Macaca mulatta: one gene and its partner. The protein of the gene in region 1 binds, or shares a complex with, the protein of each later gene. Links are inferred from orthologs where the notes say so. Each region holds a gene or a part of one and is shown on either strand. Other genes may lie near its edges.

The links. The genes of interacting proteins can lie anywhere in the genome.
Region 2: ZNF541 (region 1) and SAP30 share a complex: the UniProt entries of both Homo sapiens proteins name them as parts of the histone deacetylase complex. The link is inferred for Macaca mulatta from reciprocal best matches to the Homo sapiens genes ZNF541 and SAP30.

What each region holds. Positions count from the first base shown.
Region 1 is NC_133424.1:60,038,023-60,041,522, forward strand, and holds part of ZNF541 (zinc finger protein 541), read right to left. Parts: intron 876-3,500; coding exon 817-875; intron 248-816; coding exon 88-247; intron 1-87. UniProt on the Homo sapiens protein: Transcription regulator which is essential for male fertility and for the completion of meiotic prophase in spermatocytes.
Region 2 is NC_133410.1:181,805,840-181,809,883, reverse strand, and holds the end of SAP30 (histone deacetylase complex subunit SAP30), read right to left. Parts: coding exon 3,992-4,044; intron 816-3,991; coding exon 693-815; 3' UTR 501-692; downstream 1-500. UniProt on the Homo sapiens protein: Involved in the functional recruitment of the Sin3-histone deacetylase complex (HDAC) to a specific subset of N-CoR corepressor complexes. Capable of transcription repression by N-CoR.

The DNA.
Region 1 (3,500 bases):
CTGAGATAAGTGACACCAGTCTCGTTTACTCCCCACAGGCCTGCCAGAAACCCAGTAACCACAAAGCCACTGGTCGTCCCCCTTCACCTGCGGTTCCTGCTTCCCTCGAGGTGACGGCCACTGGTCGCTGTGAAAACACATGTGGCTGCTCAGTCCTTTCTCCGTATAAAACATCTGGCTGCAGTTCTTGCAGATGAAAGTGCTCCTGGGCTCCGTCCAGTCTGTGGAACCGCCATTTTGCTGGTTACTGTAGGTAGACATGGCAGGAAAGAAGGGTGGGAGATTGAGACTCCATCCTTGATCACTGATTCTTTGGTTTTTTTATCTTTTTTGTCTATAACTCCAATCCACTGACTACTCTTTTTTTTTCTTTTTTTTTTGGAGATAGAGTCTCACTCTGTTGCCCAGGCTGGAGTGCAGTGGCACTATCTCGGCTCACTGTAACCTCTGCTTCTAGGGTTCAAGTGATTTTTGTGCCTCAGCCTCCCAAGTAGCTAAGATTACAGGTGTGTGCCACTATACATGGCTAATTTTTGTATTTCTAGTAGAGACAGAGTTTCACCATGTTGGCTAGGCTGGACTCAAATTACTGACCTCAAATGATCCCCCTTCCTCGGCCTCCTGAAATGCTGGGATTACAGGCATGAGCCACCGTGCCCAGCCTGACTACTCTTGATAAACCCTACAAAATGGAGGCTGTACCCTAATCCCATTAGGACTGAGAGCATCCTCCCCACTCACTTGTCCAGGGCCAGCACAGGAAGGCCAGAGGACTCCTGTCGGGGTGCATGCAGGATTGGGGGCTTCTTAACTTACCCTCCGCCTGCCACGTTCTCTTCCTTCACTGGATGGGGAAGCCTGTAGATGTTTCCACCCTGAAGATGAAAATGCATCTGAACCAACACATCCAAAATGAAGAGGCAAGAAGAGCTCAAATTACAGACTTTCAGAAGAAAACATTGGAGTAAATCTTCATGACCTTGGATTAGACAGTAGTTTCTTAGATAAGACACCAAAGCAAAACAGACAAATTAGACTTCATCAAAATGTAAAACTTTTAGCCAGGCATGGTGGCTCATGCCTGTGATCCCAGGACTTTGGGAGGCTGAGGTGGGAGGATTGCTTCAGCCCAGGAGTTTAGGACCAGCCTGGGCAACATGGCGAAACCCCACCTTTACAAAAAATACAAAAATTGGCCTGGCATACTGGCGTGGGCCTGAGGTCCCAGCAACTCAGGAGGCTGAGGTGGGAAAATCACTTGAGCCCAGGAGTTCAAGGTTGCAGTGAGCCATGATCACACAACTTCACTCCAGCCTGAGTGACAGAGTGAGACCCTGTCTCAAAAAAAAAATAAAAATAAAAATAAAAACTTTTGTCCTGCTGGGCACAGTGGCTTACACCTGTAATCCCAGCACTTTGGGAGGCCGAGACGGGCGGATCATGAGGTCAGGAGATCGAGACTATCCTGGCTAACACAGTGAAACCCCGTCTCTACTAAAAATACAAAAATTAGCTGGGCGTGGTGGCGGGCGCCTGTAGTCCCAGCTACTCGGGAGGCTGAGACAGGAGAATGGCGTGAACCCGGGAGGCGGAGCTTGCAGTGAGTGGAGATCGCGCCACTGCACTCCAGCTTGGGCGACAGAGCGAGACTCCGTCTCAAAAAGAAAAAAAAAAAAACTTTTGTCCTGCAAATGGTATCATAAATAAGGTGAAAAGACACACCACAAATGAGAGAATATTTGCAAGTCATGTGTCAGATAAGGGTCTTGCATCCAGAATATATAGAGAACTCAAAAAATAGTAATTTGATTTTAAAAAATAAGCAAAGGACCTAAACAGACATTTCTTCTAGAAAGATACACAGATGGCCAATAAGCACATAGAAAAGAGTGCAACATCAGCAGTCACGGGGAAATACAAATCAAAACTACAATGAGATACTGCTTCACACCCACCAGCGTAGTTATAATTTGAACAAACCACAGACAATAACAAGTGTTGGTGAGGATGTGGAAAATGTGGAGCCCTCATACACTGTGGGTGGGAAGAGGAAACAAGCAAAACAGCCTAGTAGTTCCTCAGACCTGAAACAGGGAGCTGCTGTGCCACCTGGCAATTCTACTCCTAGAACATAAATCCCCATAAAAATTTGTACATGGATGAATATTCACAGCAGCACTATATTCAAAATAGCCAAAAAGTGGAAACAACCCAAATATCCATCCACGGATGAACAGACAAATGAAATGTGGCCTTATCCATCCAACAGAGGATCACTCAGTCATGGAAAGGAACGCAGCTCTGCCATTTGCCACCCCACAGATGAGCCTGGAAAACGTCACGCTGAGTGAAGGAAGCCAGACACGAAAGCCACAGAGTGCACGATTCCACTCACATGCAATGTCCAGAACAGACACATCCACAGAGACAGAAAGGAGACTCGTGGCTGCCGGGCGCTGGGGGGAGTGTGAGATTGTGGGTGACAACTAAGAAATGTGGGGTTCCTTTTGGGGAGATGAAACTGTTCTGGCAGAGTGGGGATGGTTGCACAATCTTGTGAATATACTACAAATTACCCAATGCTACGCTTTAAAATGGTGTATTCAGGCCGGGCACCATGACGCAAGCCTGTAATCCCAGCACTTTCGGAGGCCGAGGCAAGCAGATCACCTGAGGTCAGGAGTTCAAGACCAGCCTAGCCAACATAGTGACACCCCAGCTCTACTAAAAATACAAAAATTAGCTGGGCATGGTGGTATGTGCCTGTAATCCCAGCTACTTGGAAGGCCCAGGCAGGAGAATTGCTTGAACTTGGGAGGCAGAGGTTGCAGTGAGCCAAAACTGCACCACTATACTCCAGCCTGGGCAACAGAGTGAGACTCTGTCTCAAAAATAAATTTGGCCTGGCACAGTGGCTCACGCCTGTAATCTCAGCACTTTGGGAGGCCGAGGTGGGTGGATCACGAGGTCAGGAGTTCAAGGCCAGACTGGCCAAATGGTGAAACCTCATCTCTACTAAAAATAAAAAATTAGCCAGGCGTGGTGGCGCATGCCTGTAATCCCAGTTACTCGGAGGCTGAGGCAGATAACTGCTTGAACCCAGGAGGCAGAGGTTGTGGTGATCCGAGATAGCATCACTGCATTCCAGCCTGGGCAACAGAGTAAGACTCCATCATAAATAAATAAATAAAATAAATTTTAAAAATAAAATAAAGTGGTGGATTTGGCTGGGCATGGTGGTTCATGCCTGTAATCCCAACACTTTAGGAGGCTGAGACTATCGCTTGAGCCCAGGGGTTCAAGACCAGGCTGGGCAACATAGCAAGACCCCACCATCTCTAAAAAATATATAAAAAATAAAATGGTGCATTATATGGCACCTGAATAATAATGCTGTTAATAAAACAAAAATGAGGTAGCTGTGGTATGATGGGAAGCTACTCATCCTCCTGAGTAGCTAGGACCACAGGTGTGCGCCAGCACACCCAGCTAATTTTTTA
Region 2 (4,044 bases), on another chromosome or scaffold:
AATATCTTTTCCCAAAGACAAAATTTTCAAAAACAGCTATTTCATTTCATGTTCTTATTTCGACTTTCAGCATTGTGTTTATCTTCACTGGCACATTAAGTTGTCTTTGGAACGAGGTGGGTATATAAATTAAACCATTTGTTCTTCCTAGTACTTCATCAAGTAATAATAACAAAAAAAAAAAGGAAATAAAAAAGAAGTTGTATTCCAATAGAAGCTTATTTTTCAAATTTGCTAGCATTATAAAGCACTTAAAAAAAATAATGCTATTTAAAATATCTTCAATTCCAAGTCAGATTGTCCCAGAGAATGCAAATGTGCTACATTTGTTACTTCTCCTTACCCTGTTAATTTCTTGGAAGTTTACAAAAAAAAAAAAAAGGGGGTTATAAAATGAAGGACTTTACATTAAAATATCAATACTGATCTCTAAGTCAGTTTAAAAGAAAAATCAAGTTTCACAAAATAAATACACTGAAGCAACTATAATAGTAATAACCTTTATTTAAAATAGTTTTTAATTTAGGAAAGCTCATTTTACATGAGTTTCCAACTAATTATTAGAGTCAGAAACAAAGAAAATAAAATCAGAGAAAATCCTCTGTAGAAAAAATACACAAAGAACATTTCTACATGTGAAAAAACAGTAAACAGTGTTATCATCCAAGTTATTAGTCTCAATTCCACGTCTCCTAGTGAACACCACTATCAACCTTGACATCTGATTTGTTCTTGTCATTCTTCACTGAGTAGATGAAATATGTTAAGGTGTCTTTTTCATTCACTGGAATAGACCTAAAGTGGCAACCAACTATCTATAAAGAAAAAAAAAAAAATTAAGGAAATTAAATTTTAGATATAACAGGTTTCATAAACTAGGTAAAAAATACGGTTTCATCCAAAGAAAAAATCTATGTGATAAGAGCTATTTCCTTTAAAAATTATATTTAAGAAAATACCAACAGGACAAAAAGCATTTAAGAATAAAATGTTATGAACAAGAGATAATGTGATTTCAAAGGACCTTTTGGCTCACTCAATTTACTATACATTGATTAGAAAATACATTTTCCTTTTATTTATTTTAAATTTTATAATTGGGCCAGGAGTGGTGGCTCACACCTGTAATCCCAGCACTTTGGGAGGCGGAGGTAGGGGGATCACTTGAGCCCAGGAGTTCAAGACCAGCCTGCGCAACATGACAAAACCCCATCTCTACCAAAAAAAAATACAAAAATTAAGTAGGCGTGGTGGTGTACACCTGTAATCCTAGCTATTCAGAAGGCTGAGATGGGAGGATTGCTTGAACCCAGAAGGTGGAGGTTGCAGTGAGCTGAGATCACGCCACTGGACTCCAGCCTGGGTGACAGAGCAAGACTCTGTCTCAAAAAAGATAAATAAGATAAAAATAATAAATTTTATAATTGGAATCTAGAGTAGGGAATACATGTTTTTACTTTTAAACTTTAAATGAGATAAAACAGATGTAAGAGACCACATGCATCATTAAACCTGCAATGGTTTAGACCCTACTGATAGAAAAAGAAGTATGAAGTTGAAAACTTTTGGTAGTAATCAACAATAACATATAAATTATTTGCTGCAAATTACATTCATTCATTCGTATCTTGGTAGCATTCTTTGGTTAAGGTTCCTTGAAAATTTTTCTGAATAAAAATTGTGAATGGAAATGAGAGGAGAAAGAGGGATGTTCAATGAAGGATGTTTACCTGCTTCCTTGCCTTTTCATTGTGCTAATGTAATATGCATACTACAATTACGAATAGAAGATTAATAGACTTACCTGAGGTGCTGACAAGCATATTTAGATTCCAGAAAATAGAATTTCTTAAGAAAAAAGTTCATCCACACAACAATTACGAGACTTAAGACTTAGTCATACAACCCTGGAATCCCTTAAAACAGTGGTCCCCAACCTTTTTGGCACCAGAGATCGATTTCACGGAAGGCAATTTTTGCACAGATTGGGGGTGGGGGAGTTGGTTTTGGTATGAAATTGTTCCACCTCAGATCATCAGGCATTAGATTCTTATAACAAGCGTACAACCTAGATCCCTCACATGTGCACTTCACACGTGGTTTTGGACTCCTGTGAGAATCTAATGCTACGGCTGATCTGACAGGAGGCGGAGCTCAGGCAGTAATTCTTGCTAGCTGGTGCTCACCTCCTGCTCTGTGGACCTGTTCCTAACAGGCCATCAACCAGTACCAGTCCATGGCCCCGGGGTTGGGGACCCCTGTCTTAAAATATATGTACTACATCTGCACATTTCCACATTCCTTAACCTGTTAATAACTGCATTTCTGATTAAGTAAAATATAACACTCATGGCTATCTCTTATGTATAAAAAAGAAAATAGCTCTAGAAATAATATAACTGTTCTTAGAAGGTCAGTTTATCAAAAATTTCAGGTTTAATTTATACCTAAATGTAACATTTAAAATAATTAGTTCTTTGGTTCTCATTTGTTCCAAAACAGGGGTGCCTTCACTCCATTAGTACCTACTGAAATATTTCATCATGGTGGGCAAGATCTATATTTACGTTACATAATGTATTGTACAACCCCAAAAGAACTTGATCTTTTAAATCAAAATTAAAGAAAAATTAATTAGATCCGTGTTGCCTAACCAAGGATAAGAAATTTTAGCTAAATAGTTAATGTATTAGATTTTAACAATGTTAAAAAGCGTTCCATCAGATAAATGTAACTTCTATTCATATTTCATTTTATTCAATGAAATGTTGTACATTTTAGAAAATGTTGGGTAACTACTAAATCCATGCAAAGAATATGAGAAAACCGATTTATATATCTACACTTCTATTTTGTCTAGTAGGCTAAATTTTCTTTTTTAGAGATGGAGTGTTGCTATGTTGCCCATGGTGACTCAAACTCCTAGGATTAATCAATCCTCCTGAGTAGCTGCAAGCAAAAATTTTAAATATGATTAAAATATAAATATATCAATCTATAAGCATCTTAATAAGATGCACAGACTTCTTGGTTCTATTATATCCTGAGAACATATGCATACTCCATTAACTTTCACAACTCACTGACTAACTAGAAGTCCTCTGTCAAAGCAAACTACAAGTAAAAGATTGGGTAAAAGAAAAGCTTTTGCCTCTTCTAGATGTGAAGAAAACATAGATGTCTCTAATAAAACTAACATCAACAAGGACCAATTTTGAAATAGTTAAGTCAGCAAATTATAAAAATACTGTTTAGGGGCTGATTTGTAGGCCTACTCCACCACTTTAAAATATAAATTTTAATAAGGACATTAAAGCTTGCTAATTAAATTTATTATGCCTCAATTAGATGCTCAAACATTTACTGGTTAAATGGAGTTTTAAAACTAATAGATTTCTAAAGTGAGGATTAAAAAAAACTCTCATTCAACATTTTGAGGGCCAGGCACGGTGGCTCACACTGCTGATCCCAGCACTCTGGTAGGCTGAGGTGGGCGGATCACTTGAAGTCAGGAATTTGAGACAAGTCTGGCCAACATGGTGAAACCCCATCTCTACTAAAGATATTACACAAAAATCAGCCTGGTGTGGTGGTGCACACCTGAAGTCCCAGCTGCTTGGGAGGCTGAGGCTGGAGAATTGCTTGAACCTGGGAGGTAGAGGTTGCCATGAGCCGAGATCGTGCCACTGCACTCCAGCCTGGGTGACAGAGCGAGACTTTGTCTCAAAAAACAAACAACACATTTTGAAAGCCAGTATCAGAAGGTGCTGTACACAACCTGCTGAGTAGTCATTACAAAAAGGAATTTCCTAAGTGGCTGACAAACATTTCTAGACAACTAGATTCTTCCACAATAGATTTTTTAACATTGTTCTTTCTAAATAAAATGTACTGTTAAATGTACTGTTACATATACTACATTAATACTTTCATTAGCATTTAACAGCCTCTCGGTTGTGCATAGTTCAAATAGTTTAAAAATCATATATACCTCAACAAGCTGTGCTTTATTAAGTCCTGGTCTGGTTGGTAGCTTGAAGTGTC